Linked DNA regions of Coturnix japonica. The protein of the gene in region 1 binds, or shares a complex with, the protein of each later gene. Links are inferred from orthologs where the notes say so. Each region holds a gene or a part of one and is shown on either strand. Other genes may lie near its edges.

What was found.
Region 2: NBAS (region 1) and RINT1 share a complex: the UniProt entries of both Homo sapiens proteins name them as parts of the NRZ complex. The link is inferred for Coturnix japonica from reciprocal best matches to the Homo sapiens genes NBAS and RINT1.

What each region holds. Positions count from the first base shown.
Region 1 is NC_029518.1:90,204,421-90,220,617, reverse strand, and holds part of NBAS (neuroblastoma-amplified sequence), read left to right. Parts: intron 1-485; coding exon 486-614; intron 615-1,437; coding exon 1,438-1,501; intron 1,502-2,935; coding exon 2,936-3,129; intron 3,130-4,590; coding exon 4,591-4,848; intron 4,849-5,594; coding exon 5,595-5,720; intron 5,721-7,363; coding exon 7,364-7,515; intron 7,516-8,321; coding exon 8,322-8,456; intron 8,457-8,718; coding exon 8,719-8,797; intron 8,798-9,782; coding exon 9,783-9,887; intron 9,888-10,157; coding exon 10,158-10,294; intron 10,295-16,197. UniProt on the Homo sapiens protein: Involved in Golgi-to-endoplasmic reticulum (ER) retrograde transport; the function is proposed to depend on its association in the NRZ complex which is believed to play a role in SNARE assembly at the ER. Required for normal embryonic development.
Region 2 is NC_029516.1:12,589,150-12,605,346, forward strand, and holds RINT1 (RAD50-interacting protein 1), read left to right. Parts: upstream 1-1,350; 5' UTR 1,351-1,511; coding exon 1,512-1,688; intron 1,689-1,756; coding exon 1,757-1,998; intron 1,999-2,852; coding exon 2,853-3,026; intron 3,027-3,102; coding exon 3,103-3,252; intron 3,253-4,524; coding exon 4,525-4,681; intron 4,682-5,405; coding exon 5,406-5,516; intron 5,517-5,717; coding exon 5,718-5,943; intron 5,944-7,813; coding exon 7,814-7,951; intron 7,952-8,693; coding exon 8,694-8,893; intron 8,894-9,316; coding exon 9,317-9,531; intron 9,532-10,056; coding exon 10,057-10,237; intron 10,238-10,320; coding exon 10,321-10,439; intron 10,440-11,158; coding exon 11,159-11,375; 3' UTR 11,376-11,421; downstream 11,422-16,197. Other genes in the region: PUS7 (pseudouridylate synthase 7 homolog), read left to right, coding at 293-429; EFCAB10 (EF-hand calcium-binding domain-containing protein 10), read right to left, coding at 12,312-12,345, 12,605-12,689, 12,833-12,997, 13,147-13,246. UniProt on the Homo sapiens protein: Involved in regulation of membrane traffic between the Golgi and the endoplasmic reticulum (ER); the function is proposed to depend on its association in the NRZ complex which is believed to play a role in SNARE assembly at the ER.

The DNA.
Region 1 (16,197 bases):
GAAGTTCAGTATGTATTATTTTGTCTTGTGGAACTGATTGAAATATGCAGTTGTATTATTCTCCTTCAAGAACTCATCTGCATTATCTAGATATCTCATTCTCCTGTTTTATTTTACTGCATTTATTTTATTTTTTGGGTGGATATTATGATAAAGAGAAAGGTTTGCTACCAGGGAGGGAGGGCTGCACGATAAGCTTTATGCTAGATAGCTGTATTGCCTGAGAGAACTGAGGTTGCTAAATCCCATCTCTAGACAGATTATTTAAGAACAGCCTTTCAGTTTTCATTTATAAATGAATATTTATTTACAAATAAGTTCAAATACTCTGTTAGCTGTATTGTAGTGTTCTTCCTTTATGCCACAGTTGTCAGTTGTCATTTTATCTGTATTCTGACCCCCACCCCTTTTCATCTATTTATTTATTTATTTATTTATTTATTTATTTATTTATTTATTTATTTTTTCCCGACAATATTTGGCAGGATGGAATTTTCAAGATGAGTCTTTCCCCCGATGGAACTCTTCTGGCAGCAATTCATTTCTCAGGGAAACTAACAATCTGGTCTATTCCATCTCTCAGACAACAAGGAGAATGGGACCAATCTGACCAGGTATGAGGGACATAGGTGTTTAGAAGCTAACAGGATAATCTTCTATAGATTTGTTTTAGGAGGATATAAGAGAATTTCATTGAACTGTGCTGTAACTATTATTTAGCAATACTTTATTGAAACTTGATAACTTAAACTTGAAATCATAATAATATAGCTGGTTCTTAAAGTTTAATGAGATATATTGTTAGCAGGTGGGTAACTGGTACAGGTGGACTGAATTGCTGTTTTTAAATATGAATGGAGGCCAACATGGGGAACTTGGAATGGTTGAAACCAAATTTTGCTGGAAGTCTTCCTGTGTTCATTTTTTTTTTTTTCCCTTTCTTCTGCAAGATAACACTTTAGAATAATTTAACTGTCAGGATGTTCTCAGTAAGTCGCGTGTTACAGAAATTGTTTGCAAAGTTACATTTGGGACCTTATGTTAGGAAGCGCCAGGCACTTGAAAACTTGTGCATAACTGGTATAAATTTAAGCATGGAGAATTGGAAATCATTTTCAGAGAAGATCCCTAAGAACCACTTTCTTTGAGTAAAGTCGAGACTTTGCAAGTAGACATATTTTTCTTGAAATACTTTTCAAAAGAGATCAATCTGGTCTAACCATAGGTGTCCCTGTTCGTTGCGGGGGAATGTGATGCATCTTGGACTAGATGACCTTTAAAGGTCCCTTCCAACTCATACGGTTCTATGAAATGAAGGCAGAGCATTTTCACTGAAATCTGAGTGGGTCAGTGATGGAGTAAATATGCAGATTGTGAGTGATATCAAGATTTGCTTGTACATTAACCCTTTCTTTTCCCTTGTGTTTATTTCTTTAGCCGGGTTATGATGAAGTCAACCCAGACTGGAAACTGTCTAGTGAAAAAAGAAAGAAAATAAAAGGTACATGATATGGCTGAATTATTATTTTAAATCATTTTGTTGTTAAAAAGCATTTATAGTAATATAAAAGTATTTGAAATAGCTTAATTTAACTACACTTACAGTAGTTGACAAGATGGTGTATATGATTTGAATTTGTAGCATAGTATAGCTGAATAAACATCACGATGTGGTTTTTAAAAATCCTCTCCTGGGAGTATTTTCATAGATGTAGCCATAAATAAAAGGATATTTCAGCAAATATAGGCCTTCATTAATTGTTACTTCTATGGAATGCTGAATGCTCAGCAGAAGTCTCAGCTTGTGTCATAAGCCATTACTTTTTAACACAATAGATAACGTATTTTTAGAGACCACAGCCTAAGACAGAAGCTTACCTTTACCTTTTCTGTCTATCTGTATATATTCTATATATCTAATACGTCTCAAATACTAATGCAATTTGAAGAGCTTGTTTCCTTTTCTTTCAGAATTTGACTCTTATGTTCTTTGTCTGGTTTTGCCGTATGTCAGACTTCTTTTCCCAAAATTCACTTAATCATATGCAGCCATTTATCTCCTGGGTACTTCATGGCTCTTCTATGAGTGCAGATTGTTACTTGTTCAAGATCCATTTACTGATGCTTGAATTTGTTTTTGTTATTAAAAGCTACCCATTTCTTTGTGCTGTTTTCTTGGTGATTCAATTTTTGGGTTAAGATCTTCATGGCTAACCAGATGACTAAGCACTGAGGTAGCAGAAGAGTGTTAAGCTGATTTGTTTCTAACTGCTGTTTGGGAAAAGATAGCTTTTTTTCAGAGACATGAGAAGTGATAATATATTAAACAAATTAAGCTAGCTCTTTGTGGTGAACATTTTGTCCCAGCGTCCAGTTACCATGCAGGTGACACAGTTTCCTTCCTCATTATGCTGTTTTTTTAATCTTGTTGGCACTTTAATTTTCTTAATAGTGTCACCCTGTGGGCTGTTTCAGGAGCCTTGTTCACAGTTGTCAGTTTTCCTCAAAAGCAGTGAAACCTTTTTTGTTTCATCAATATAATGATCTTGGTTAGAGAGACTTGACCAAGGATGTCTAGGGAAATATTAAGGAGGCGTTTATCAGCCATCTAAGATTTGTCAAGTTTTATGCAAGTGAATCAGTTTATTGTGAATTCTTTTTCCAAATTATATTAAAAAGCAAACAGATTAAATAAAAAATTAAGTTTCTTCTTCCCTCCCCTTCCCTCCTATCCTTCAGCTAACTGGAATGGTTTCACTAAACTAGCAGACATAAAATACAAATTCAGTGAACCAAGAATGTATATAAAATAATAAATGCTTGTTAAATTTAGACCATCAGATGTTAACTCTTAATAGTTGAAGCCACTGCAGTTCTTATCTGGTGTTTAAAATTGCCTTTCCTTATATGGTGCTTTCTTATTTCTTTATTTCAGATAAAGAATCTTATTACCCACTGATAGATGTAAATTGGTGGGCAGATAGTTCTGTGATCCTGGCTCGTTGCTCTGGTGCATTGACTGTGTCATCAGCCAAGACATTAAGAAACTTGCTGGGAAAGTCATGTGAGTGGTTTGAGAGTTCTCCTCAGGTCACTTCAGCTCACGATGGAGGATTTCTGAGTCTGGAGGTGAGGAATGCACATAAGCAAATATAAGGAATGCAGTAGAAGCAGTGTTCTGTTGTGTATGTTGCATGCATATATGTGCTTATTAATAAGAAAAGTGATTCTTTATCTCTAGGCAGGCAATTCTGAACCTCCTGCAATTCAGATATCTATAAAAAACTTAATTGCCAAGTAACGTGGCAATTGCACTTAACAAGTAATTGCCAAGTGTAGATGGAAAACTTCTGGAAGCCTGCATCTGAATTAAAAAGTTTTGCTGCAGGAAACAGTTTGTGTCAGCTCACTTAAAAAAACCAAAACAAAACAAGAAACTGCTTTGTTAGTGCATTTGAAGAATACTTCAAGCATCCCTCTTGTTTTGAAACAGATGCTTGCAGAGGGAGTATGTTTACGGGAAGCAAGGAATAAATCGTAATTGACCAAGCCTTGGAAGGGATCTGTTTTTTATTCACCTTTAATAGGGTTCTAGGCAGGAGTAGAACATAACTTTGGTAATGAAGTAGACCAGGAATTTTCTTTGAAAATAAGAATGCTTACACTAGAATAGATCTTAAACATCTTAAATATTTAGCTGAAATAGCTGAGTACATACCAGAGCTTTTTGCGCACATTTCTGGCAAGTTTTGTTATTTAAGAAATGAAATAGAGCCAGTGACTGGCATGTTACAGCCTATGGAAGAACAGTTTGGAAATAGATCTGCATTGAACAGGAATCCATAATTTGCTTAGCTAATAGTTGAAAACATTGTTACACTCTGAAGTAAGCTGTATAATTATACTGAGATTAAATATAGATCTGTAAACAGTAGATCTGTACTGTCTGTGGATGGTATAGGATTGAGTGTATCTAGTATAATAATGGACTACTGATAAGAAGCCTTTGCCCTTGCTTTAGTAAGAAAGTGATGAAACCTCAGATCTAGAAGACAGACCCAGTCAGGGCTTGTGGAGAGTATTACTCAAGCTGAGAAGTAAAGGGTTTACAAGCGAAAAAATGTTGATTTTGAAATTGAACTTGATCCAGGTTTATAAATACCTGAGGTGTGGGAGACATAGTGGTGAGTCTGGTCTCTTTTCAGTAGTGCGTGGGGATAGGACTAGGGGTAATGGGATGAAACGACAGCATAGGAAGTTCCACACAAATGTGCGGAAGAACTTCTTTACAGTGAGGGTGACGGAGCACTGGAACAGGCTGCCCAGGGAGGTGGTGGAGTCTCCTTCTCTGGAGATATTTAAGACTCGCCTGCCTGGACGCCTACCTGTGTGATGTGGTGTAGGGAGCCTGCTTTGGCAGGGGGGTTGGACTTGATGATCTCTAGAGGTCCCTTCCAACCCCTACAATTCTGTGATTCTGTGTGATTCTGTGAAATTTGAAGTACTGGAAGTGGACATGTACCTCATTGTCACAAAGATATACTGTGTGGAAACTTTCTATTTTACCCTTAAGAACTGTCTTCTGTGCAGTGTGAAATAAAACTAGTTCCAAAAAGACTACGCTTGGAGAGCAGACCTGGTGATGAAGATGAGGGAGAAGATGACTCTGACTCAGATGATGAAAATTCTGCTAAGGACAGATACTTCAGCTACCTGAAGCAAGGCCTATATTTTGTGACAGAAATGGAACGATTTGCTCCTCCACGGAAACGTCCACGTACAATTACAAAGAATTTCCGCCTTGTTAGCTTAAGGTCCACGACTCCAGAGGAACTTTACCAGAGAAAAGTGAGTATAAAAGGGAAGATTCCATCTCTGGTAAGGAGCTTTAATTGAACAGATTTTTTTCTTCTTCTTATTTTTTAAGACTTGCTATTTTAACACTAGGTGCGTATTTCTAAGGGCCTCATAGACAGCAGTGTATCATGTTACCTAACATAAGTTAGGTAAAACCAGCATTGTAATTGAAGTAACAGGATGTTTGCTGGTCATCATGTTTCATTAGTGTGGCCAGACTCGTTGTGCTAATGTGTTTAAAAACAATGGAAGAATGGGTGGATATATCGAATTAAATTAATTTAGCTTGTTATTATCTAGGGAATGGGTTAATCTATACCTTGATATTGCTATTATATGAATGTTTTTTGAGACGTGCCATGCATACAAAGTAGTCTTGTGACTCACTTTTATCGCATAAGAGATGTGTCTTTATTTTGAAGGCAGTACTTTGTTTAGGACACTTCAGTTCTTCTAATGATAAGCTAAAACTATAGCTATTAGAGTTTTCAGGGGGTGCTGCTGTTGTAGTGATTGCCTACACAGCTTCTTTCCTTCTTACTGGGAAGTTTGTGGTTTTCCTAGAGGTTACTATCTGGCCTGAGTTAGGAGTTCTACATATTCTAATCGTACATTATGTTTGCTTTCCTACGTGCGTAAGCACACCCATAGTAATTATCCCTCTACCTGTTTTAACACAGAGAATTAATTATTGATTGTTTAATATTGACTTTCATTTTCATGTGTTTGCTTTTTAGATTGATAATGAAGAATATGAGGAAGCTCTGTCTTTGGCTCAGGCATATGGCCTTGATTCTGATCTTGTGTATCAAAGGCAGTGGAGGAAGTCAGCTGTTAATGTTGCTTCAATTCAAGACTATTTGGTGGGTTTGTTTTTATGACTTCAGCATTTTTATTTTTATATTTTATTTTTAGAGTTGCTGTGTAATCTTTGCAGAAATCTCCATTGTGTTCTAATTTATGCAGCATAAACTAGTGGCAGTTCAGAGAGCTGTCCTGTAAGTGTAAGAGAGTGTAAATGTAAGAGAGAGAGTCATCTTGTTAATTTAACTGAAGGCCTGATCTGGAGGACTTAGAGCTTTTATCTGAAATTAGAAAATATCTCCAAGGAGAAATTTCTATCAATGTGCTTTCTCTAGTGTAATCTTGTCTTCACATGCAGCATTAGATTGTTTCCTGGGAATAAATCATAACTGCAAATATATTGCTGTTAAGAAATTTCCAGGTATTGTAGAGCTATATGGAAAGGTTAGTTTGGTATCCATAGCAAAGGCTGAATAATGAAACTTGCATCAAATCCAGCCTGTAACTAAAGCTCTTCTGTAGAATCAAACATAGTTTTTTTGTTTGATTGTTTTGGCATGAGAAAAAATAATCCAGCAGGTGAGCATTGTCAAACGGCACAACCTACCAGTGTGTGGTGGTGTAAAATCTTCCAGGATATCAAGAGAAATATATGCTGATTTTAATTTTTTTTTTTCCCAGTCATCCTATCTGTCACAAAATCTCATAGGCATGTGGAGAGATCAATACTGAAAATGACTCCGGTGCTGTTGTGGAATACGTTGAATGTATAATATCTATATCTTTATCTCCGAAACATTATATTTCTGATAGTATAATCAGCAGAGATACTAATCAGAGAACAGAAGTAGTAATTTCTGTTCTTATTGCTGTTAAGTCATCTGGCATTTGTTCATTAGCTTTGTAAAGAGTCTTAGCTTCATTACATTAACAGGACAAAGTAAAATTCATGTACTAATAAACAAAACTGTAGATGACTGTTTGTGGAGTATTTTCCTCATCTTTTTTTTGGTTCAAATCATAGAATCACAAGGTTGGAAAGGACCTACAAGATCATCTAGTCCAACCATCCTCCCTTTACCATACCTACAGAAAAACACTAAACCAGATCTCCTAGCTCCCTATTCAGCCTCTTGAACACTGCCAGGGATGGCAACTCCACCACCTCCCTGGGCAGCCATTCCAGTGCCTGACCACTCTCTGAGAGAAAACTGACAGTCATCAGATTAACTTGACATTTTCTAAGTGGTAGAAACAAATTAAGATGCTTTAACGTCTCTGGTTTTATTGTTTTGGAGTGTGACTGGAAGACTTTGTGGGGAAAAAGTATATGGGGTTATTAGTTAACAGCCAGCTTAATATGAGCCATCAGTGTGCCCAACTGGACAAGAAGGCCAGTGGTATCTTGGCTTTATATAAGAAATAGTCAGCAGGAGTAGGAAGATGGTTGTTCCTATTGGCTTGGCACTGGTGAGGCTGCATCTCAAGCACTGTATTAACTGCCCAGGAAAGTGTTGGAGTCACTGTCCTTGGAAGTGTTCATGAAAAGGGTAGATGTGGCACTGAGGGACATGGTTTAGTGGTTGTGGTGGTTTTGGGTAGTTGGTTGGACTAGATAATCCTAGGGGTCTTTTCCAATCTTAATGATTTTAAGATTCCATGAAATGTGTAACAATGGGCCTATGCTTTTGTTCTTGGATAGAGCAAAATTAAGAAGCGTGCGTGGGTTCTTCATGAGTGTTTGGAAAGAGTTCCAGAGAATGTGGATGCTGCTAAGAAGTTGCTTCAGTATGGCTTAAAAGGCACAGACCTGGAGGCTCTTGTGGCCATAGGAAAAGGAGAAGATGGTGGCAGGTTTGGGAAGAGTGGTTTTTTTTTTGTTGTTGTTGTTTTTTTTTTTTTGTTATTTCTTTTTCTTATTTATTTCTGTTTAAATCAACTAATGAAGTAATAAGTAATAATTAAAATAATGATATGCTGATGAAGTGCATAAGAAGAATTACAGTGCTGTGAATCAAAGTACTTAAATATGCCCGCAAGCTGACTGTGTACTTTTTACAAAGTACTTTTGTACTGATCTTGTTGCTTTCTCTGGATATCATTTTATGCATCCTGGAGAACTTCCAGTGTCATTATTTTTTCAGTGAGGTTGTGTTTCCTCGGCCTTTCCTGGTAGCTGCTGCAGCTCCTACAAGGATATTTTATTGTGTATCTTAGTTGTAGTGATGCTTTGTTACTCATTTGAGGAGGGGAGCAGAGCAAAATACAGGGGTCAGAAATGCTTGCAGAGATGATTGTTATTCAGTTCCTGGTGGTGGAATAGGATGTTCTTTCTTTATCCAGTCATCTGTTACAATTGTACACTATAGAAATGCTGCCAATTCCACTGCTTCCTTTGGAATTTAGAAATATTTAACAGTCATCATTGTTGTGTTTTATTTTTTTAAGGAGGGTAGGGAAGAGGTGATGCCTTTTGTTGGCTTGGGCTGCATGTCTGCTTCTTACTGTAGCAGATTTCAGTATTACAATTTTATATGGAAGTTGAGATTTTTATTTAAGACTTCAATAGAAATCTCTGTTGATAGACATATTTAATAGCTATTTCCTACATCTTTCTGTTGTTTTTACCAGCATGAGTTGGTTGTTCTTTTGTCCTCCAGATTTATCTTACCAGGGGAGGCAGACATTGGTATTCCCTATGAAAACTTCTTGTCACCAGATGAAGAAACAGACACTAAAAAGGAAAAAGAGTCCAGGAAGAATCAAGAACTACTGTTATCATTAAACTTCTCAAAGTAAATGCAATGTTATGATCTATGTTTTACTCAGAATTACAAGATTCTTATAACTACGTAGTTAGAAGCATGTAGTTATGTTCATGTACATGATTACTAGTAGAAAAGCAGTGGAGACTTAAAATTAGTATTGTATTGTGTCCAAGTTCTTAGCTTATTAATTTCTCAGTATATTTTAGTTGTTCAAATATGTAATTATTGTCTTCATTTGTGTATGATGTGGTGTCGATTATAAATGTGAAAACATCTGTTTTGGATATAGGCTGACCCTGGAACAAAAAGAACTGTGCAGGAGCAGGCTGAAGTTGTTAACTTACCTTGATCGCCTTGAAACTTATGAGGTGAGAAACTTGGTAATGGCTTAAGCTCTTTTTGAGTTCCTATTACACAGATAGTCCTGTAACTTTTTTTTGTCACATCATCATATTTTTTTTGTTATATGTTGTAGTATTACTGTTTATAGTCTCCTTGAAATATAGCAGTCTCTCACTTGAGAAATGTGAGCTGTTTTCTATTCAAGCTAGTGTATTTTTCCTGCTTCAAGGTTGCAGATGGCTAGCTTTTAACTTTGAGGCATGGTTGGGCATGCTTTGAACATATTGTGTCCATTTGCCAGCGAAACAGCCTATTTCCCTCCCCCCCCCCCTTTTTTTTTTTTTTTTTTTGGAGCAACAATTGTTTAGTTAAAAGTGTATGTTAGTTGCTATTAAGAGGACTTGGCATTTACGTGAGTGTGTCATTAAAGTAAAATGTCAGGGGAAATCTGATGCATCTTAAATAATAAAACAATTTTGAGGATAGGGAATAATATACAAATGTATGAGATGTGGAATGTAGTACAGGATCACTTGCTTTGAAACTGCATCAGTCAGGCTAAGTAATAAGTCAGTCTAATTCTGATTCTCATCTCCTTCTCCTCTTTTTCTTTTCTTGAGTTACAGAGACAAAACTTTTTGGAATGGAAATCTGTATTTTATTTTTTTTTTTAAATTTAATTTTGCAGTTGATAGTACGAAGGTTGATTTTTACTGCATCCCCTTGTAACTAATGCTGTAGAAACTTTATTTAGAATAGAGCAGAGAATTGTCTTAGCTTATCAATCAGAAATGCATTTTTTTCCATACTGAGATAAATTAAAACCAACAAATAAAAGTAATCAAAAACAAACTAAAAGAAAGCAAGCCTCCACCATGTTTTTTTCCAGGTGTAGTTTATGTTTATTTGTGGTATGATGTATATGGTTTTGGGTGCTGTTGCAAATCTTGTATAAAATCGGGTCTGTAATTTTTTAATTATTGTTTTTTTTTGTTTTTTTTTTGTTTGTAGGAAATCCTTGGTGGTCCCCATTCAGCTGAACAGCACTATGATGGTGAATTCTTCAAGAAGTTCAGAAATCAAAATATTGTGCTTTCAGCAAGAACTTATGCTCGGGTATTAACATTTTCTTAATTTTTTTCATTATTGCTTCTTTGGTTTAGGTGTTTATTTGTTCCATTGAAAGTAGTTGAATCTCAATGGAAGTTTATGCGGAAGATGTTTTTGTTTGATTGTAAATAAGTAAATGTGGGGACACTCAACAAATTTTCTTTATTGAGGAAGAAAATTTTGAAGTCAAGGGTTCATTATATGACTTAAACTTGCATTACTTGCTCTGTTTCAGTCTGTATCAGTCTTCTGCAGTTTATTGTTTTTTATGTTTAGGAAAGCAATGTCAGAGCCCTGGAAATCTTGTTTACTTTCCATGGATCAGCTTTACTTCCACACAGACAAGCAATTCTCTCCAATTTTCCAGAGACTACTTCACCACATGAATATGCTTTCTTGTTGCCTGAGGCTTGGTAAGAACACATTAGTGGATATTAACTTAAATGTTACACATAAATTGGTTTGCATATATGATGATCTTCTCTAAGTCATTGCCTGGAATCAAGGAATTAGCTTTGTCTCCTGTGCAAATCTTCATTAGCTGTTTTACTTTGTGCCATTTGTGCAAACTTTTTGTCTTTTGGGGTGATTTACTCGAAAGTAAGGAATTTAGATGTTCTTATCTACATTACCCATAAGCACAGACTCTTAACCTGCAGCTTCTGATCCAAATTTTCACTGATGTGAGTAGAGGTCTGTAAGTGTTTTCCATGAACATGCAAAATTAACAGATAATAATGGAAGTGGTTTCTTTCTTTGTTTGCTTTTTCCTGGATGGAATATAAACATTGTATTCTTCTGAATTTGTTTTTAAATATTGTATAATCCTTAAGTAGTCAGTAACTTCAAAATCATGAATTTTCTTGTCACGGACTCTTACTCTCTCAAAGGAAGAATTAGGAAAGGGCTTTAATCCGACTTTCCTTTGAGTATAAAATGTAGTTTACTGTCAGTTTCATGTTGGCTATTAACTTAAACCTTCACAAGAGAGTCTTGAACATCATTCTACTGTTCTCAGTATTATTTAAAAGAAATTTTTGCTTCTAGGTTGTTTCTTTCAAATGCTTCGATTACAGAATTAGTTTTGAAGTGTATTGCTCAGTGCCCACATAGAATTAGTGAGGTTTCATTTTTTTAGATTTTTGCCATAGGACTTTGAACTCATACTTCAGAAGGATAGTTCTTTTGAGTAGATTAGAGGTTGTTGTTGGAGCCTTCCAGCATTGTAGTTGCATCTTTCATTTGGAAGTTTAAACAGTGCTTTCTGGGTAATTTGCTATGTAGAAGAGGTTTTATTCACATAGTCACTCCTGTGATATCTTTCCCAGTTTATAATGTTTATAAAAACTTTTTCTGAGTGGAAGTTAGTGTTGTTTTCTTGATACCTAATATTTGCTGGCATCCTTTTAGTCATTTTGTTAATATTAGGAACATGTTCAGTGTGTAAAAGCCCTTGTTTTATGCTTTTATTAAAGTAACAGATCATAAAGATAAATTGTTGCGATGTTTATAAAACAGAGAAGATGGATTCTGAATTTTCTCTGTTGTTTTAATAAGATATATGAGGAGGCAGGAAGGAAGGCTTTTCTGAATTGTTATGATTTATCATAGAATCACAGAATCACCAGGGTTGGGAAAGACTTTAAGTCCAACCATTCACCTATTACCACTAGCTCCCACTAAACCATGTCCCTCAACACAATATCCAGTCACTCCTTGAACACCCCCAGGATTGGTGACTCCACCACCTCCCTGAGCAGTGCATTCCAGTTCCTCACCACCCTTTAGAAGTAATGTTTCCTAATGTACAGCCTGAATCTCCCCTGCCACACTGTCTACATTAGGATGGCACTTGAAGTCTGGTGTCCCAAAAACTTTGAAGCACAGAAGTCGGTGTAGCAAAGAGGAAAAAAAGTAGTAGATGATGGTGTTTACGAATGTATTTTTGCAGAGTTATGATGATCATAATATATTATTACTCCTTCCATTTGTTATAATTATTTGTCAGCTTCTTTTATAATGATGGTTCCTGAATCTGTGCTGGGTCATGGGTATTCAGGCTCCTTCACAAAGGTTCATTAGGTACGTCATCTGTATCTTTTAAGACAACTAGAGTGAAGATCATAGAATTTTAGGTATTCAGAGGAGTTGATCTCTCTTTTAAAAATGACAGCTAGTTTATGGTTAAGATTGTTTCCCTCAGATTTTTAAAGGTAATCTCAGAGGGAAATAATGCTTTACCTCTATTATAAACACATAACCAGAGTCTTTTTGTTTTAATTTCTTTATCCTTTTATTACGTTTAACTGTTATATTGCAGCATTACAGTTCACCTTTAAACTCACAGAATTTGGGAAATTCGAATGTGAGGTTTCCTCAATATCAGTAACTTTGCACACTGCAGCAGTATGAAAAAGCCTTCACTTTAAATCGGTGACTTCTGTATGCTTCTGCTTTTTTACTCTTTAACTTCTTAAATACTGGGTTTCAGTCCTGGCTTATAGTGAATTTTTATTGGAGAGTTCTGAAAAAACTCCATTTGTACTGGAATAGGTGTGGAAATATTTTTTTAAAACTTCAGATGAAGCTTTTAAAATCAGATAAACATCTATAAACAAAAACATAATTAAACTGGGAGACTTTTAAGTGGTTTTCCCTTTATCTTTGCATTATGATACCTTCTCCTGAACTTGGTTTTTAGTTACTGCCTGTTGCACTGCAGTGTTTCAGTGACCGAGCTTAGTCTTTTTTCTTGTGTATATAATTGATTTGATAACTGAATGCCTATGAACTGTCAAACGTATACTCCCAGTTATGAGCTATTAGTTTCTTCTGCTGAACTGCCTTTTAGTTTAGTTCAGATGTGTTTATGTTAAGAGGATTAATCCCATAGTCAGTTTTGTTTTTGCTTTTATTCATTTCTTTAGCAGTACAGTCAGAGAAAACTTATGCAAGAAGAAAACACAATGGTTCTGAAGAAGAGCATCAGTGTAATTGGTATTAATCTCAAGTATGAATTTTAAAATCTCTAATCTTACTGTCGACTTAAAATTAGAAAAGCATGTTTTGAGGGTATAATTACATTTTCATGACTCTGTATGTTCATGCTCCTCTTTGCATTGATTTCTGGTAGGAAAAGAGAAGGTTCTTGTGATGTATGTAAAAAGTAGTTTGGAGGAAATGAAGTTCTTAAAAGTGGCCTTTGTAGGGATCTGGGCAGCTGCAGGGTTGGTTGAATTTGGCTAGTTGGATGTTGCTGAAAGTTTGCTGGTTGAAAGTATTGTAAGTAGTATTAGTCTTAAACGGTTTTTGAATATGGAAGTAGGAACTTAAAGCCATGAAGAGGCCAAGGGGAGCATGAACTGTTGACAAGGAAGGTGGGAAGTTTAAGAGGAGCTGCTATATGTGACCAGAGCTGCTGTTCACAGTGACCTGAGCATCCTGAAGGAAATGCAGACTTCTGTTCCTGTGAATGAAGAAACCTTTGGAACAGTGAAAGCTGTAGACTGACAGGAGAGAAGCTCTCCTGCAAAGGACCAGGAGGTCCTGATGAGCACAAGCAAGTCATGAGCCAGAAGCATGTCCTGGAAGCTAAGGCCAGAAGCAACATGGCCTGCTTGAACAAGAGCATACCCAGAAGGTGGAGCAGACTACTGCACTCATTCAGCTGCATCTAGAATACTGGATAACCAAGAAATATTTTGGTGAACCAGAGTGAAGTTAGCAGAAGAGCGTCAAGATGTTTAGGGATCTGAGCACTTTTAAAAGCCTGAGGGGACTTGGTGTCTTCATCAAGGAGATAGTTTTGGGGGAACCCAGGAGCAGTTTTCTCTTATCTTTCTATAGAGTGCGAGCTGAACTGCAGTTCTGATTTTGCTGTGTTTCTGTGATGTTTATGCCTAGCTTATCCTGTCTTTGTTTACCATGTCAATCTACTGCATGTGTGTTGCTGAACTGTACCTTGGCTTGCCTCCTATGTTATTCTGTCAAATTATATTGCTGATCTGGTCTTGCTTGTAGCTTTTCTATGGACAGAATTTCTTACACAAATAATCATAACACTTTTATAAATGTATTTATTTATAAATGTACATTTTTATAAATGTATTTTCACAGTGTGGTGGCAAGACTGGGAGTTCATCTGTGTCTTTAAGGTAGCCCATTTAGATTTTGTGAAAGTGGTTGCCTTACATTTTCACTGTATACATAAAAAAAACCAACACAGCAGTCTCCTAAATTGTGACTGAATAGTGTTGATTGGCATTTCGGTTGTTTAGGTTATTCTGTCCAGGTAATTTAAGTGTAAAAAATTTCTTCTTTTCCTAGGTTACATAAGAAGATAACTATATCATTAAAAACTAGTTTGATCTGTTCATGCAGAATCAAAAAGAAGACTTTTCTCTGGTTGCTAAGTTGATTTGGAAGACCTGTCATTGAAATGTGCATGGTAGGGGTTCTGAAACGCAGTCAACTGTGGTAGCCAAAAGCTGGGATACCTTTTCCACTATTTAATGTGGATCAATTCTCCAAAAATGGTGCTTTTGGCACTTTGTTTTAAACAGCAGCTGTATTCCACAGCTGGTGAATTTCATGTCTTACAGCCATTTATGGAAAATGAGTCACTCTCCTTCCCACCTCTTCAAAATGTGTCATATAGTAAATTGAATAGTTGTAAACCCTAAATATATGTATTCAGTTGTATAATTGCCATTAGTAATTTGTTACTGAACTAGCCCAGTTTTACATGCAGTATGAAAAATGTAGATATGTATGTCATGTCTGTTTATGGTGACATATCTGGGATGCATTTCTTATAGAATCCTAGAATCACAAGGTTGGAAAGAACATACAAGATCATCTAGTCCAACTGTGCTCCCGTCACCACTGCTACCACAAGCTACTAAAGCAGATCTTGTAGTTCCTCATCCAGATGTCTCTTGAACACTGCCAGGGATGGTGACTCCTCCACCTCCCTGGACAGCCATTCCAGTGCCTGACCACTCTGAGAGAAAAAGTTTCTCCTTCTGTCTAATCTAAACCTCCTCTGGTACAACTTGCTGCCGTTTCCTCAGGTCCTGTTTGTTGCCTGGGAAAAGTGGCCAAGTCCCTCTTCATCACAGCTTCCTTTCAGGAAGTTGTAGAGTGCAATGAGGTCTCCCCTGAGCCTCCTCTTCTCCAGACTAAACAATCTCTGCTCCCTCAGCCACTCCTTCTAAGATTTATGTTCCAGACCCCCCACTAGTTTCATTGCCCTTCTTTGAACACGCTCCAGGGTCTTTCTTGTAATGAGGGGCCGAAAACTGAACACATTACTCAAGGTGTGGGTTCATCGGTGTTGAGTACAGGTGGATAATTACCTCTCTGCTCCTGCTGATCACACTATTTCTAAAGCAGGTCAGGCTGCCATTGGCCCTCTTGGCCAACTGGGCACACTGTTGCCTCATGTTCAGCCAACTATCACCCAATACCTCCAGGTCCCTTTTCTCTGCGTGGGGTTATTGTGGCCAAAGTGCAGAACCCGGCGCTTGGCCTTATTGAACTTCATCCCATTCACCTCAACTCAGTAATCCAGCTTATCCCGATCCCTCTAAAAGGCCTCCCTACCCTCAGGCAGATTGACAGCACCTCCCAACTTGGTGTCATCTGCTATGGTGATTTAGCAGAGGGTTGTTAGAGTTAGGGTACTATGGTTAGGCTGTGGTTGGACTTGATGATCTTTGAGGTCTTTTCCAAACTGGGTAATTCTATTCTATGATTCTATGGTGGTTCATCCTCAGTTACAGAACTGTAACATCATAAAACTGTTTCATAAGGACTGCAGAACAGCAGAAACAAGAATTGATTTTTCCCATTGCACCTTGGCATGCACCAGGTCCAGTACTGCCATCAGACAAGGGAAGGGGTTGCTCCTATGTCCCCCTATATTAAAAAAAAAGTACATGTTTTTTAGTAAAAAGATACTGTTCTCAAGTATGTAAGAGTGATTTTTGATTTCAAGTCTGAATTCAGTTTGCACAAATTTTAGGGTTTTTTTTTTTTTTTTTTTAATTACTAATCTTCAATTAGATGAGTCTTTGAGACAGGCCTGCTGATTGAAATCCTTGGGGAAAAAAAATAACAACAAAAAACCACACTCAAAGTTGCTATTAGTAATAGAAAGAATTGGACTCTGACCTTAAAAACTAAATTAGACATTCCTCTTTTGAAAACCTGTCCTTGGAGAGAAAAATAATCTGTAGGTTTGAATAAATGCATTTGATAGGATACCGGATGCAATAGCATGGGTCTCTTTTGTCAAGGCAAAGAATGAAATGAA
Region 2 (16,197 bases), on another chromosome or scaffold:
GCTCCAGACAAAAAAGAAGAGTGGGTGGGAGTTCAGTCTGACAAAACCACCCATCTAGTTTTTGGTGAAGGCTTAGAATATCACTTCCCGCTGAAAGAAAATGTTAAATGGAAGATGGTTTACAACATTCTGCTTTACACTATGGATTGTAGACTGGGGTGTGGTGGTCGAGGCTGTTGTATGAGATCAGGGATGGCGGTGGAAAACTTTGGTCCGGTTTGGATGGCACTCAGAGTAAGCATTATTTATGTTCTTTACTTTCTTTTTGCTTTGTCTCTCCTCTTTACGATAGATGGTAAATTCCGGGCACTGAAGATGGAGTTCTCCCTTCCGCCATCCACTTACGCCACTATGGCGATCCGAGAAGTTCTGAAGATGGACACAAGCATTAAAAACCAAACGCAGCTGAACACTACCTGGTTACGCTGAGTGAACTGCTGGCACGGCCTAGATTTTAACATGTACAAAGTGTTTTCCTACTTACGTTCTGTACAAATCTTTGAAGGGTGGCAGTGAGAGATTTGTATTTTTTAAGTTTTTATTAGTGCAAGCAGTTAAATTAAGTAGTTATTAGCAAGATGCCGGTTGTAATGTAATACGGGCCTTAGTGACTGGTGCTTTGTAACGAATGGACCATGAGGTCGCTTGAGCTGTGTTGCTGCATCTCTGAGAAGCAGGCTTATGGCTTCTGACCTGGGCACATGTTCGTCTCGCTCTGTTTCAGCGAGCAGTGAATGTTTTTATCAGTTCAGCACACCTTGAGATCTCTATATTAAAGTACAGCATTAGGAAAATTAGAGCTGAGTGAAGGTACTGATGGCTGTTTGCTTCCAAGAAGCTGCTGCGGTCAGCCGGGCTGGCTGTGTGCTGCCACAGGGCACAGCTGTTTTAATTAAACACGAGCTTCTTCCGGGGAAAATGTGTGCATTTTCAGCTTCACCAAGACAAGGTACTGGGAATAGTTAACCAAACACAACGGTGTGTCAGTCCGTAGCGCCTCGCTCTGTCCCTGGCTGAGCCAGCCTGCTGCTGGGAGGCAGAACGAAGCTGCATTTTAAACGATTCTAAACCAAATAGGGAATTCGTGCTGCTTGTGTGAATAAAACGCCGTGAACGGAAGGTGCTCCCGGCTCTGTGCTCCCTGAGGTGGGGTTATGGGGGAGCTGTGTGGAAGGGGCGGGCGCGGCCATGGGGGTGGCTGAGGGGGAGGCGGGTGCGCATGCGCCTCTGGGCCCGCCCCGGCTGTGATGTGTGCGGCCTTGGGCCGCGCTGTGCTGACGCGGCGGGGCGGGGAGCGAGGGGCTGCGGGGCCGGCGGTTTGATATTGCTATTAAAGGCCTCGTTTTAAAGGCCGGCATGGCTATTAAAGGCCTCGTTTAATGTTCAGGTGAAGAGGAATCGCCCTGCGTTCCCAGGAGCCCCGTGTCCTCAGTAGGTCGGTAGTTGGTCGTGTTCCCTTAGTGGTAACCAAGTAGAAATTACGTAAATAACATTGCGGAAAAAAAGAAGGCATGGCAGCCGTTAATGTGCCGAAGAAAGAAGTCGTCAGAGATCCGGATCGCTGCGATATCCCGTACTACGTTTCAGAATTTGTGGAAAGAGAAGTTGGGAATGACTATGATTCTCTGAAGAAGCTGGGCAGCCTCATTGAGAAGCTGTCTGAAAACAAGAGGCAGCTGGAAGAACAGGTAAGTGTCTGTGCTCATTCTCCGTGTGATTTTTCTGTGTGAGGCTTAATGCATGTCTGTAAATGCAGGTTCTCACGGTTTCATCCGAAGTCCCTAAAAGAATTCAGAACGCCTTAAAGAATGCAGAGGACTCAAAACAATCTCTGAATCGGCTTCTAGAGGAAGAAACTCTCCTGTCCGATTCCATCAGCAGCCACTTAGAGAAAGCTGAGCCGTGGATGGAGGATCTCGGGGTGCTGATCAGCCAGGTGGAGGAGATTGAGCATCACCTGGCCTATCTGAAATGGATTTCCCAAATAGAAGAGTTAAGGTAAAGCCGATGTACTTATGGAGAGTTCTTACTAGTGGTATCACACAGCTTCTTCAAAGATTCAGTGTTAAATAATCACATTTAAGGAATAAACGAGAGCAGCAAGTTGTCATCTGGCCATATAAACTGTTAACGTGTTCTCTGGTGAGAACTGGAAGTTATTGCTCTGGCTTAAGGAAGAGAACAGTAACTGTGTCGATATGTGGATGGAACTCTTTCACCCACTGTAAATTATGGTGTAAGAACTAAAATAATACTGGAATATCTTGAGCGGAAATGTTACGCTTCAGACTTCGTGATTCTGAGTTTTCATTCTGGTACACTGATTTTATCGTAATGGGAATGAACAGTGCTGTTTTAGTTAATGTGATTTGTAGCTTCCTTCAGTGGAAAACTTTGTGTAATGCTTGTAAAGAATGTCAGAAATTGGAAGATTCCTTTGGGTCAGATTTTGTACAGAGAGACTTAAGTTATGAAACAACTTGGTCTGAGCTATGAAAATGTGACAGGTGTGCTGCAGTCTGAAATTTGCTTCCAGTTTTCCTCCTGGGAAGCGTGAGGAAAAGCAGATCTTTGAACAAGTTCCATAAAGAGCAGTGCTTCAAAGAACTTCGGGCCTCCCTTCTTTCCTTCTGCCTTCAGGTCTCGGTGACAGGCAACTTAAGGAACTTCACACAAAGAACTTGTTTCGTGAATCCTTGCTGTAGGATGTATGTGATGGGAGTGGTAACCTCGTTAAAGTATTTCAGATTGAGCATGTTTTCTGCCAGTTTCTCAATATGATGGTTCTTTTGTGTTATCTTTAGTGAATTTTTGTCTCAACTCTTCTTGTATTTATGTTCTTGTGTTCATAGTGATAACATTCAGCAGTATCTGATGACCAACAATGTTCCGGAGGCAGCCAGTACTCTAGCGTCTATGGCAGAACTGGATATTAAACTTCAGGAGTCATCTTGTTCTCATCTTCTTTCGTTTGTGAGATCCACTGTTAAATTTTGGCATAAAATTCTTAAGGACAAGTTGTCAAGGTACAGGACGACTCATCACTCCCTCATTTCATGTTGTGCCGTAGCTTGGTGGTAAAGTGTGTGTTTTGTGTTGCAGTGACTTTGAAGAAGTGCTGACCCAGCTTCGTTGGCCATTTGTGGGGCCACCGCAGTCTCAGGCGTTTGGCCTTACTGCGCCAGCCAACGCTTCTGATGTTTACAACAATTTAGAGGTTTTGTTCTGCCAGCTTCTGAAATTGCAAACATCGTATCCTTTAAAAGTGTAAAGAAAATTGCCTTGGGGGTGTTGGTTGGTGCTTAGCTAAACATGAGCCAGCAGTGCACCCAGGTGGCCAAGAAGGCCAATGGCATCCTGGCTTGTGTAAGAAATAGTGTTGCCAGCAGGAGCAGGGAAGTGATTGTACCCCTGTACTCAGCTCTGGTGAGGCTGCACGTTGAGTACTTTGTTCAGTTTTGGGCCATTCACCACAAGAAAAACACTGAAGCCTTGGAGTGTGTCCAGAGAAGGGCAACAAATCTGTTGAGGTGTCTGGAGCGCAAGTCTTGTGAGAAATGGCTGAGGGAAGTGAGATTGTTCTGTCTGGAGAAGAAGAGGCTCGGGGGAGACTTCAGCTCTCTCTACAACTGCTTGAATGGAGATTGGTGTAACTGGTGATAGGGTGAGGGAACTGTCTCAAGTTGTGCCGGGGGAGATTGAGGTTGAATATTAGGAACAATTTTTTCTCTGAAAGAGTGGTCAGGCATGGGAATGAGCTGCCCAGGGAGGTGGTGGAGTCACTGTCCATGGAGGTATTCAAGAAACATTCAGGTGTTGTACTAAGGGACGTGGGTTAGTGGAAGAATATTGGTGGTAGGTGGGTGGTTGGACTGGATGATCTTGGGAATCTTTCAACCTTGGTGATTCTGTGGTTCTATTCTGCGATCCTGATCTGCCTTTGAGGTAAATCAGAAGATGCTGCTCATCCTGTTCCTTTAGTTTGAGGGTAAAATCAGGCAGAGATAAAACTCAGGCTTTTTTTTCTTTCTTTTCTTTTTGTTTTTTCCCAAACAAACAAAACCCAAAACAGGAATAAATGTGGTCATGTTATGCAACGTGGCGCTGGAACAATTCTGGTTGGTTAGACCAGGCTACTTGCACCAAGGTGGGAAATCACATATTGCAAGTATTATTTTAATGAATCTTTGATAGTCCTTTACGAAACATGGATGGATGTCTCTTGGGTACAGGTTTGGGAATGATGATGGGGTTCTGTTTCTTTTCATGATAGTGATTTCCTAAACCATACTGACTTCAGTGACTTAAATTGTCATTGAATAAATAATAATTAGCAGCCAGAGTTATGTTAAATATTTTATAAAACTGAAACGTTTTGAGCATTGTTCAAATTGGAGGCATTTTATAGCTTGTGTGCCTTCGGACAGTGAGGTAGAGCTAAAACGTATTTGTTTTTGTAAACCCATTGTATTTAAATGATACTTACAGAGAAATTCAGCATTTCTCCTTGACTGTCAAACTTAGAGATGAGCTGTTAACCAAACCCAAACAGCTGCCAGAAAAGTACTCCTTACCTCCATCACCACCTGTTATCCTCCCAATACAGATCATGCTGAATCCTCTGCAGAAAAGATTCCGCTACCATTTCACTGGAAATAAACCAACCAATGTTTTAAGCAAGGTATGGAAAGAAAAAAAAACAGTTTAATTTTATTGCTACTATTTTTAGCAGCATTAAATTACGTAGCTTTAATGCTTTCATTTTGGAAATTCAGTTTCTTAAAATACGTGGTACTTGTATGTACTGTATGGACAGGCATCAAGGCAGTGCTTGGAGACCTTTGAGAGGACTAACATCTTTTCTGGGCTAGGCAATGTTTTTCTGAAATCATTCCTGCATTCGCTCCCATCATTTCAGAAGCATAGATTAATTTAGTCTTTGTCTTTACAAATTGTTTTGCAGTGTTCAGTATTGCTTGAACTCAAAGACTGTATAAGGCTCTGACTTTGATTTTTGTTGTTGTGTTTTGCAACGTTCATGTGACTGAAAATACTGGATCCTGCTGCTGGTGTATAATGGGTATAATTCTATTTGCCATGTGTCCAGTTTACTAGTTGGAAATTGACTTGCTTTTTGTATGAGTTATCTCCAAAGGCTGAGTCTTTTCATCCAAGAACTGTCATGTAAGCAGGTTTCTTACAGGTGTAACGTTAGCACTGCTGTAATGCTTCTGCAGCAGGATTTGAGAGACACTTTTTGTAAGAGATTAGATCTGTGTGTTTGTGTTGACAGTCTTAGGCAAATCAAAGTGTATTTGCACTCTGGCAGTTGCTACTACAGCGTATTTTTAATAGCGTTATGTATATTAGTGAGTTCACTAATTTAATTTTCTTTTTTAAATAAGCCTGAGTGGTATTTGACACAAGTGCTCATGTGGATTGGAAATCACGCCAAGTTCCTTGATGACAAAATCCAGCCAATATTGGACAAGGCAGGATCGCCAGTGAATGCTGGGGTAAGCACCTCAGTGGTTTTGTGTATGTATAAGTACCTACACAGCTTGTGCAAGCAACTCTTCTGCTGATCTTAGTGTGCAGTGAGACTTAACACAGTCCAGCAACAGTTTTAGAAGTTAAATACATTTGCACATATTTATACATGTCTATACCTCTGATTTTTCTATTCACTTTTTTTTTTTTTTTTTCTCTTTTAAAAGCTTGAATTCTCTCGTGCTCTGGTAATGCTGATTTTGGAGAAGCTGGCTACTGATATTCCATTTGTGTTATATGACGACACTCTCTTTTGTCACCTTGTGGATGAGGTACTTCTGTTTGAGAGAGAGCTATTCAGTGTTCATGGTTATCTCAGCAGCTTTCCCAGTTGCATGCATATTCTCTCAGAAGAGTCCTGCTTCCAGAGATGGCTGACAGTGGAAAAGAAATGTAAGACTTGGAAGGAATTTTGTTGGTCTGTATATGTTTTCATTCTGATTGGGCAATATATCAATTCCCCAGGTAGGATGAGCCACTTAAACTACAAAAGACATGTTTTTGAGGTCAGCAGTGAGTAGAATGCCCAGGGGTCAGCATTGGTGCAGTCCTGCTTAACATCTGTACTGATCTGGACACTGGGTGGAGTGCACCCTTGGTAAACTTGCAGATGATACAGGACTATGGGAAGTGGCTGATTCTCCATAGGGCTGTGCTGCTACCCAGAGGGCTGTGGACAGGCTGGAGCCCAGGTGGGCTGGTTATGGCGAGAAACAACTGCTGGCACAAGGACATACTGGAGGCCACCCAGCTGGAAAGCTGTTCTGCAGAAAGGGATGTAGAAGCCCTGGTGGACACTAAGTTGAACGTGAGCCGGCAATGTTCTCTTGCTGTCCTGAAGGCTAATGGTGTCCTGCATTAGGCAAAGTATTGCCAACAGTTCAAGAGAGATGATCCTTCCTTCCCTCTATGCTCAGTACTGGTGAGACCACTACTCCTGCAGCAGTACTGTGTCCAGTTCTTCCCCCGCCAACATTATGTGGGGAGACATGGACATACTGGAAAGAGCCCAGTGTAGGGCCACCAAGATGATAAAGGGACTGGAGCACCTCTGCTGTGAGGAGAGGCTGAGAGCTGGGGCTGCTCAGCCTGGAGAAGAGGAGGCTCCAGGAGATCTCATCACCATTCCGTTCCCCTCTACTCTGCCCTTGTGAGGCTCCACGTGGAGTACTGCTTCCAGGCCTGGGGCCTCCAGCACAACAATGACGTGGAGTTATCAGAGTGGGACCACAGGGCCATGAAGATGATTAGAGGACTTTAGCATCTCTGTTATGAAAAGGATGAGGCAGCTGGGATTTGTCAGCCTGGAGAAGAGAATCATAGAATTACTCAGGTTGAAGGCCTCAAAGATCATTAAGTCCAACCACAGCCTAACTGTAGTACCCTAACAACCCTCTGCTAAATCATATCCCTGAGCACCACATCCAAACAGCTCTTAAACACATCCAGGGACAGTGACTCAACCATCTCCCTGGGAGCCTATTCCAGTGTTTAACTACCCTTTCTGTAAAGAAGTGCTTCCTAACATCCAACCTAAACTTACCTTGGCACAACTTCAGGCCATTTCCCCTTGTCCTGTCACCAGTGAGATTTGCCTCTTGATGAGAAAGCTCTAGGTAGAGACCCCATTGTGGCCTTCTGGTAGTTAAAGGGAGCTTATTAACAGGAGACACGATCTTTGTTAGTTTGCTGTGGAGGACATGGCCCTGGTCACCCTGTTATAGGTGCTCCTCCTTAAGCAGGAGTTTGGTCATACAGACCCAGGTCCCTGCCAGCCCCACCCATTCTGTGATACTCCAGTATTCTGTGGTTATTTTGACTAAAAATTGGTTTGGCTGCAGTACTGCTCCTGAAGTTTATAGGACCATTGCCCCTAATCTAGTATGGTTATTTAACATATAATCTAGGGATCTAGTATGTTTATTTTTAGATAGTGTTATACGCTTATTTGTGCAAAGACTGACTTGAAATTGAAACGAAGGGAAGGTATTAATTTTTGAGGAAATGGGGAGGAAATATACTGGAAAGGAACCAGTCATTTAAAACAGAAACCACAGTCAACCCTGATGTTCTGTTTGTGTCTGTAGTGCTGTTACTGCAGCTGGTTCTATATAAATCAAGTCATCGGTAGTTTTTCTTTACATGAAGACGTTAAATTCAATTTATTGGAGATAAAGATTTTTATATTTATGGTTTTTTGGGCTTTAGATAATTGCTTTTATTATTAAGTACTAACAGCATTTACAATTCTTTTGCATCTCAGTTGCTCTTCAGAAAATGGACTCTATGCTTTCATCAGAGGCTGCATGGGTATCACAGTACAAAGATATCAGTGATGTGGATGAGATGAAGGTCCCAGACTGTGCAGAAACTTTTATGACTCTGCTGTTAGTTATAACAGGTAACTGCAAATCTATGGGTGTTCCTGTTGTTAATGAGTAGCAGAAAAATGGCAGCTAATTGATTGCTGTATTGAAGATTCCTTGTGTGAGCAACAATCACTGAGTAAAGTTGTTGCAGTGTTGCGATAGTTAAACAGTTTTCATGTTCCTCTCTTGTGTTTTGGGCACAAATGTCAGGACAAAGAATCTGGAGCTAGTGGCATGTTTAGGAAGTAACAACTGAAAAATGACATTTGATATTTACCACCCTAATGCTAGAGATGTTACAACTTGTCACAGTGCAGTAATAAAAATACATCGCTATTCCTTTTCAATCTCTGAGAACTTAAGAAGCAGATGTTACTTAATAGCTGTTTAGAACAGGAGCAAGGATGTTTTCAGAAGGCCTTGTTTGCATACTCACTGCCTTTGTCGTACTCTGCATCTGGCTTCAGGAGCCCCATGAGACTGCTAGATGGTGAGCTGTGGTAACATTACTTAAAGCGTTAGAATACAGTACAGAACCATGATGGGATGGAAATCCCAGTTATGTTGTTTGTTTACATACTTAGCTTTTGCAGTGAGTAGTTTCCTTGATACTGTTGTGAGTTGGGTGTTTTGAAGCTAAGTGCTGTCTGATGCTTCATAGTAGTAAGGATATATAGTAAACTGCCAGTAATGTTTCTTGTTCAAAACACTTTTCTTCAGTGCTGGAAAATACCAAACATAATATTATAATGATAACATTATATTAATTCCCAGACAGGTATAAGAATCTTCCAACGGCTTCCAGAAAACTGCAGTTCCTGGGGCTACAGAAAGAGTTAGTTGATGATTTTAGGATACGATTAACTCAAGTAATGAAGGAAGAGAGTAGAGATTCTTTAGGCTTCAGATACTGTGCGATCCTCAATGCCGTTAACTACATAGCAACTGTGCTGGCTGACTGGGCAGACAATGTAGTAAGTAAATATTGTGTTTTAATATGAATTCAGCTTGAATAAAAAAAGATATTGGTAGATTACTAGGCACTGTTCTAGTTTTATTGTTGCAGATGGGATGGGGAACAAGGACAAGTGATTTTGGCTATTTGAAAGTGTTCTGCTGTCTTAAAGCACATACTTATTATTTCTCTGAATCTGTTCCTTTGACCAGTCTGCTGTTGTATTTGAAACCCGTATCAGTTACAGTGTTAGGATTAAAGCACAGTGCTTTGTTTTTACAGACATGGGGACCATGAGGACATTGTTTTTATAATCTTAAAATTGTAAAACAATGAGAGTGTCAGAAGAGTGTTTTCTAGAACCCTACCTGTTAAAAGTACAAATGAAAAGTTCAAATAAGGTTATTTTTGGTAGTACTTACATCTGACTGTCTTTCTCCAGTTCTTCTTGCAGCTACAGCAGGCTGAACTGGAGGTCTGTGCAGAAAGCGATGCTGTCAGCCAGCTGCAGCTGGGGCAGCTGGCTTCAATGGAGAGCTCTGTCTTTGATGAAATGATCAACCTCCTGGAACGCCTGAAACACGATATGTTGAGTCGTCAAGTGTACCACGTCTTCAAAGAGGTCACAGATGCTGCAAAGCTGTACAAAAAAGAGAGGTGATTCCATCTGCTCACACTCTTCTTGTATTGCAGTGGTTTCTTTTTCAGTTAAAAACACTGAGGCAAATAAAGGCAAGAATAGAAAAATAAGAAAAATCAGTTTTCTGAATAGGAAGGGCTCAGAGTAGTAAGCATCTGAAGGTTTGGTTTTACACTGACATCAAAGCTATTTAACATTATGTTTTCTAAAGTACGTCTGCAATAAATGGGCACATTACCTTAAAAAAACAGGATAAGTATAGTTCAGATGAGAATTGTTCTCTGCAAAGTAGGATTAAAAGTGGCATGTAGTGACTGCTTCTGTCTTCACAGAATCTCAAGGTTTCTTGGCTGGTTGATGATGAGTTCCTAAAATACTTCAGTAAACAATTACAATAGCTCAGTGATTACTTTTAGCCTTGACATGGAAGGGGAGAAAACTGCACCATTGGAAACAGCTGAGATTTAAGTGATATTTTAACTTCAGCTATTGTAACATGAATAATTTCATTGTGATGAATTCAATGTGACTATTTCTTTCAGGTGGTTATCTTTACCATCTCAAGCAGAGCAGGCGGTAATGTCTTTGTCAAGCACAGCTTGCCCAATGTTGTTGACTCTACGGGACCGATTGCTTCAACTAGAACAGCAGCTCTGTCACTCTCTGTTTAAGATATTCTGGCAAATGCTCGCAGAGAAAGTGGACACTTACATATATCAGGAGGTGGGTGTTCACAATATACACGTGGTACAGTGTAGGTGATGGTGGCTGGCCTAAACAGAAGATACACCCGTTTCTGTTGGCAGATAATCATGGCGAATCATTTCAACGAAGGAGGAGCAGCACAGCTTCAGTTTGACATGAGCAGAAATCTTTTTCCTTTGTTTTCACACTACTGTAAGAGGCCAGAAAACTACTTCAAGCAGTAAGTAGGAAATCCCATCTGTCAGTATTTCAAAAGAGGATGTCCAGATGCATGTGTTTTACACATCAACAAGGATTTTTTCAGTTTGAGAGGGGAAGAAACACTTAAAATATGTGGATCATCTGTGCTCCTAGGGAGGCACAGTGTTGACATTTATAACAGAAAATACTTAGCAAGAATAAATAAGCTATTTCATAGAATCATAGAATGGCCTGGATTGAAAAGGACCTCGATGATCATCCAGTTTTAACCCCCCTGCCGTGTGCAGGGTCACCAACCACCAGACCAGGCTGCCCAGAGCCACACCCAGCCTGGCCTTGAATGCCTGCAGGGATGGGGCATCCACAACCTCCTTTTAACAATAAACTCTACTACAGAACCAGGCACTCAGCACTTCCAGCTACGATCTAGCAAGGAGACCTGAATTAAATCAGAAAACCTCCTTGGGCAACCTGTTCCAGTGCATCACCACCCTCTGGGTGAAAAACTTCCTCCTAATATCTAATCTAAACCTTCCCTGTCTCAGTTTAAAACCATTTCTCCTTGTTCTATAACTGTCCACCCTCATGTTTGTTTTATGCAGTACTTTCCAGTTCAGTACTTCTGATCCGTTTCAGAAGTCAGCAGGAGCTTTTTTCCTTAGTTGCTGGGCATACAGAATTAAGTATCCTGTGGTTGCTTCTATTACTAATCTATGTATACCTTTTTCCCTCTTATAGCATCAAAGAAGCCTGCATTATCCTGAATCTGAATGTTGGTTCTGCCTTGCTTCTGAAGGAAGTACTGCAGTCAGCCTCAGAAAACGAAGCACCGTTACAACCAAACCAGCCATCAGCAACAGCAGCGTTAAATGAACTGGGGGTTTACAAATTAGCACAACAGGATGTTGAGATTCTTCTCAATTTGAGAGCTATTTGGCCAAATGCAGGCAAATAAAGACTTTCTTCAGAAGTGGTTAAAACTTAATCTAGATCACTTGTTTCAGAAACATAAGCAGCGAGCTGTGTCACGGCTGTGAGCTAAGCTTAGTTATTTTACATACAGTTCCAGAGAGATGACTTGAAGATGCTCCGGTCCTGTCTTCTAACCACACAGGTCTTACTTTGTTTTCCATCACTGCTTTGTTTGCACACTTAGAAGCTGACGGGCCCTTCATTACTAATGAACGTGTTACTTGTTCTCTGATGATCTGCCTTGTGGAGCTGCCGTGCTGTCACCTTGATGTGATGAATACAGGTGCATGTGTGTGACTGCAGCTACATACAGCATGTCCAGCTGGGGCACTCTCACTTAAGCACATGTGTTTTCCACTTCTGAATCCCCAATGCAATGGGTGTTCTGTGTTAAAATGTGCACAGGAAGGCTGGGCATGGAATGAAGGAATATATCACTGTTTTATTTATCAACACGAATTCAAAATTCAATTTATTTCTTTTGCTGTCCCAAAGTGCCCTCTATTTTTTGAACAGGACTTCATTTATGCTTGAGCTTTAAAGGCTGTTATTTGGCAGTGCTGTCTTTCTCCAAACATGAACGTGCTGAAGCTGCTGAAGCTGCTGATGTTCTTTTTGTACCAGCACTGAAAGGCCACAGTTGGAGGAAGAAATGCCAGAGCACGCACTTTGGATTTGTAAAAGGGGTTTCTACTTAATCAGGCGATCTTATTGTAATTAATACATTTCTAGTGCCTGGTAAACATAAATGTGTTTTTGTTGTTTGTTCTTTACAGCTAAAATGGATGGGGAAAAAAATAAGTGCATATAGTCATAAAACAATAAGTGCATATAGCAATAAAGTCAGCTTGACGCACTAGTAAATGGATGAAGCAAAGCAGCTATTCTAAATACACAGAGCACAGCACTGTTCCAACTACTACACGGTCCAGCCTTCCAGCAGTGTTTTCAGCCTAGGACAGAAGAGAACATCTGGTTAGGCAAGTTAGGATAACTGGTTTGGTTATTTATGGTGGCTGTAAGTTACCACACAATGTCCCTTGAAGGATACCATAACCAGCAGCAATTAGAACAACCTGGAGCTCGCTTCATTGCCGTGTTACGGCCTCTGCTGTGGTAAAACATCAGGCAACGACAGCTATTCTATGCTGCTGTGGCCTGCAGGATTGCCTGATGCTGCCTGGGTTGCACGACCCTTCCCACCGCACTCACATCTCTTCCTTGAACGTGGCCAGTCCGATCTCCTCCTCGTCCCAGACGCGCAGCTCCGCCGTGCTCAGCCCCAGCGTCTCAAGAGCTGGGGGAAGGAAAGCGGCCCCTGAGCAAGTCTTCGAAGGATCGATTTACAAGCAGAACGCGGCCGGGATGTCATTGTAACAGTAAACATCTTTAGCATCCCGAAGCGCGGGCTGTGTCGGCACAAGTGCGGACGGGACCGACCTGCTCGGCACTGCCGGCCCGTGACGAAGCCGCGCCCCGCGGCGTCCATCATGCGGAACATGGTCTCCACATCCGCCTCGTCCAGCACTGCCGGCATGGCCGCCCCGCCGCGCCTCGCCGCTCGCACCGCTTCCAGCGTCTGGATCAGGAACTGCCGCGGCCGCTCTGTAACGGAGCGAGGCCGGGGCTGCTGCGGGCGACCCGAGTCCGTCCTTCGGGCCCCTCCCCGCGGCCACCCCGACGGTCTCCTGACGGAACCCGTCTCCCTCCCCCCGTTCCCCCGTTTCCCCTCAGCCGCTCCCCGTGCTCCGCACCGGGCCGGTGGTACAGCAGCAGCGCGGCGAGGCGGTGAAACAGCGCGGGCAGCCCGTGCCGCTCCAGGTAGTCGCGGCTCTGCTGCTCGCCCGCCGCCATGGCGCGTTGCTACGAGACACAGCCGCCACAGCCGCCGGGCGCCGCCCCTCACAGCCCTCAGAGCCGCCAGAGGAGGGAGCGGGGCGGTGCTCGGGGCCGGGAGGGGGCGGTGAGTCCACGGCGTGTGGTACCGAGCGGTTCTGCTTCAGCGGGCAGCGGCCGTAACCAGCGCGAAACGCACCGCCACAAACCGACACCTGCAGTGTGAGCACAGCAACCGCAGGAGTCAGTCAGCGCGCTCTGTGAGGAACGGATCCAGGAATCACCAAGCGAAGCCCATGGGGACGCACACACACACACACACACACACACATATATGTATCATTTCTTTGTTAAGAAAGCACAGTTTATTTCCTTGAAAAACGTCTCGGGTGAGCTCTGAGATGCCCCCCTGGGCTGACACGGGAGGAACTGCTTTTCTGGTGATGGAGAAAAGCAGGATTTGACAAAACAACTGAATGATTCCTGGGTTCACCACAGCAGTGCTGATAATTCAGTTTTAATCACATCTGCAAGGATCAAATCTATTTTTGTGTGTTTAATATGGTTACTTATATAAACTGAATTTTGCTATAAGACTATCTGCTGTGGCAAGGAGATGAGCCTCTTGTAGGACACAACACATAACTTCAGACTTCCATCTCATTACAAAGGACTGCACAGACTGCAAACAGGCCTAAAGAGTGAAACAAAGAGGAGCAGGGCCTGCAGGCACCACAGGTTCTGCACAGAGAAGTTCTTCACAGAGAGAGTGGTGAGGTGCTGGCACAGGCTGCCCTGAGAGGCTGTGGATGCCATGTCCCTGGAGGTGTTCAAGGCCAGGTTGGATGGGGCAGCCTGGGCAGCCTGGTCTAGTATTAAATTGGCAGCCCAGCATGTAGCAGAGGGTTGTTGTGGGGCTGTTCCAGAAAGTAATGCCATTTAGTCTGTGACACAGTTAGCCAGCCTTTGTGGAAGGGTGTCTGTGGCTCTTTGGAAACAAAGACTCACAAGAGTCAGTACTGGAACTCACGGGAGCGAATGGTCCAGTAACACTGCAGAGTAGAAGAGGCTTTGGAGAGTGTTAGGATAAAAAGCCCAACACAGAGTCTGTTACATGCTCCAGGAGCAAACATACACTTGGCTTGTTCTCGGCTGAAAGGAGCACTTCCCTTTGGCTTCTTTGCAAGTGTCCAGCTCCGCAAGACAACCCAAGCGAATGGAAAGCTTTGTGTTGTTGAGAGAAACTAAGTACTATGGGCTGATGTGCCATACATCAATGGTAGGGAAGGTTAAAGGGTTGACGTAATCCTTTCCAGGCCACATGTGCTCACCTGTGACACGGCTCTCCAAATCAGCACTGAGTACATTTGCCACTGGGAAGGGAGGATGGCTGCTCTTCTGCAGTGATGCTTTGTCACTACTCCCCCTCCCTGGCTGGGTCCAGGCCCAGATGCAGACACACGGGACTCACAAGTTTATCGGCCACTTACTGCATTTACACCACGAGGCCCTTACAGCCGTAGCATTCTGTACATTTACTTTATGCCAAGCAGCTTTTCTGAAGAATGAGTCCTGTGTGGTGTCACATTAATCTGAGCTGCTCTGAATCAACCAAACCCTGCTTTAACTTCAGAACCAAACCTGACAGGTTTGGAAAACACACAGAGGGGCAGTAGGATGCTTGGCACCACATGGAATCCCTTCTGGTGGCTCTACCTTCAAAATGAGTCTCCCCTGGATCCTGAGGATTTCTGGCAAGCGTCCCTTGAAATGAGGAAAGCTTTTGGAATTCTTCCTTTCTCCCTTCTGTAGGGAGAGCTGCTCACAGACTCCATCTTCATGTTGCTGCAGGTCAGCCCTAACCACTACAGAAGGCACCATCCTCCCTCCCCAAAAAAAGAGAATCCAGCTCATGTAATTTGTGATGCATTACGAAACGAGAACGGGAGAGCATGCATGCCATCTACCGTGCATTCTGCAGCTGGGAACTCAAAGCAGGGCCTGCTACTGAGTTAGTGGCTGCATCTGCTTTCAGCCTAGGAAATGAAGTTTTAAAAGTCGTCTGTACTTGTTTGGAGTTGTAACTTTCAGGAGGTGCTCATGGAGAAAAACAGCAGGAAAAAATGCATGAAATAAACACAGTTCAAAAGTCTGAATCTGCTGCGTGAATCTCCTCCAAACATTTCTGGAACCAGAACTTGGCCTGGCTTCCAATCATCAATCCTGACAGATTTGGATGAGTAAAACAGATCCTGGTTGCAGAAAGCAGTGGCTTCTACAGCAAATATTTCTCTGCTAAGAACAGAAGCCTAAGAACTGGAGTGCAATAAATAAAAAGTTCTGGCGTGATTTGCTTACCTCTGCAACCGGTGGCATTTAGAGCGTGTTAGATAATAGGAGAATACTGTTGCGAGCAAAATACTTGTTGCATAACCCCGAAGGGTGTGGGAAACCAAACAGAGAACAGCTTGTAAAGCAGGACAGCAAAGCTGCGAGCGCTAATAAATGACTCAGTCATATTTGGAAAATAAACGCAGGGTCCTTGACCTCTGCTGGCTGTGAGCGATGATGGCGAGCAACCAGTAACTCGTGGCTGCAATAATCTCTTGTCTTGTTTGTATCCCTGATTTCTATTGTCTGTAAGAAACACCATCTTACAAGCACAGTGTCTCTCCAGCTTACATGGAGATCGCTCCCTTTCAGATGAAACTTCGATGTTTCCTGTGACCAAACGCCGTTTGGTTTCTCTGCTGCATACTGAAAAGGATAAACTCAAGACTAAAAAGAAAAATGAAAATATAAGCAGCCCAAACATCCTGTGCGGTAAAGGGGAAGTTCAGGATTAGCTTTTGCCACAGACATCAAGAAGAAGCGAGACATTACACAGAAGGCTGTTCAGCTAGAAGGTAAAGTCTTCCTACTTCTGTTTCCTGTAACCCAGGGCAGCTTGCTATCTCCTCTGCCTGTTC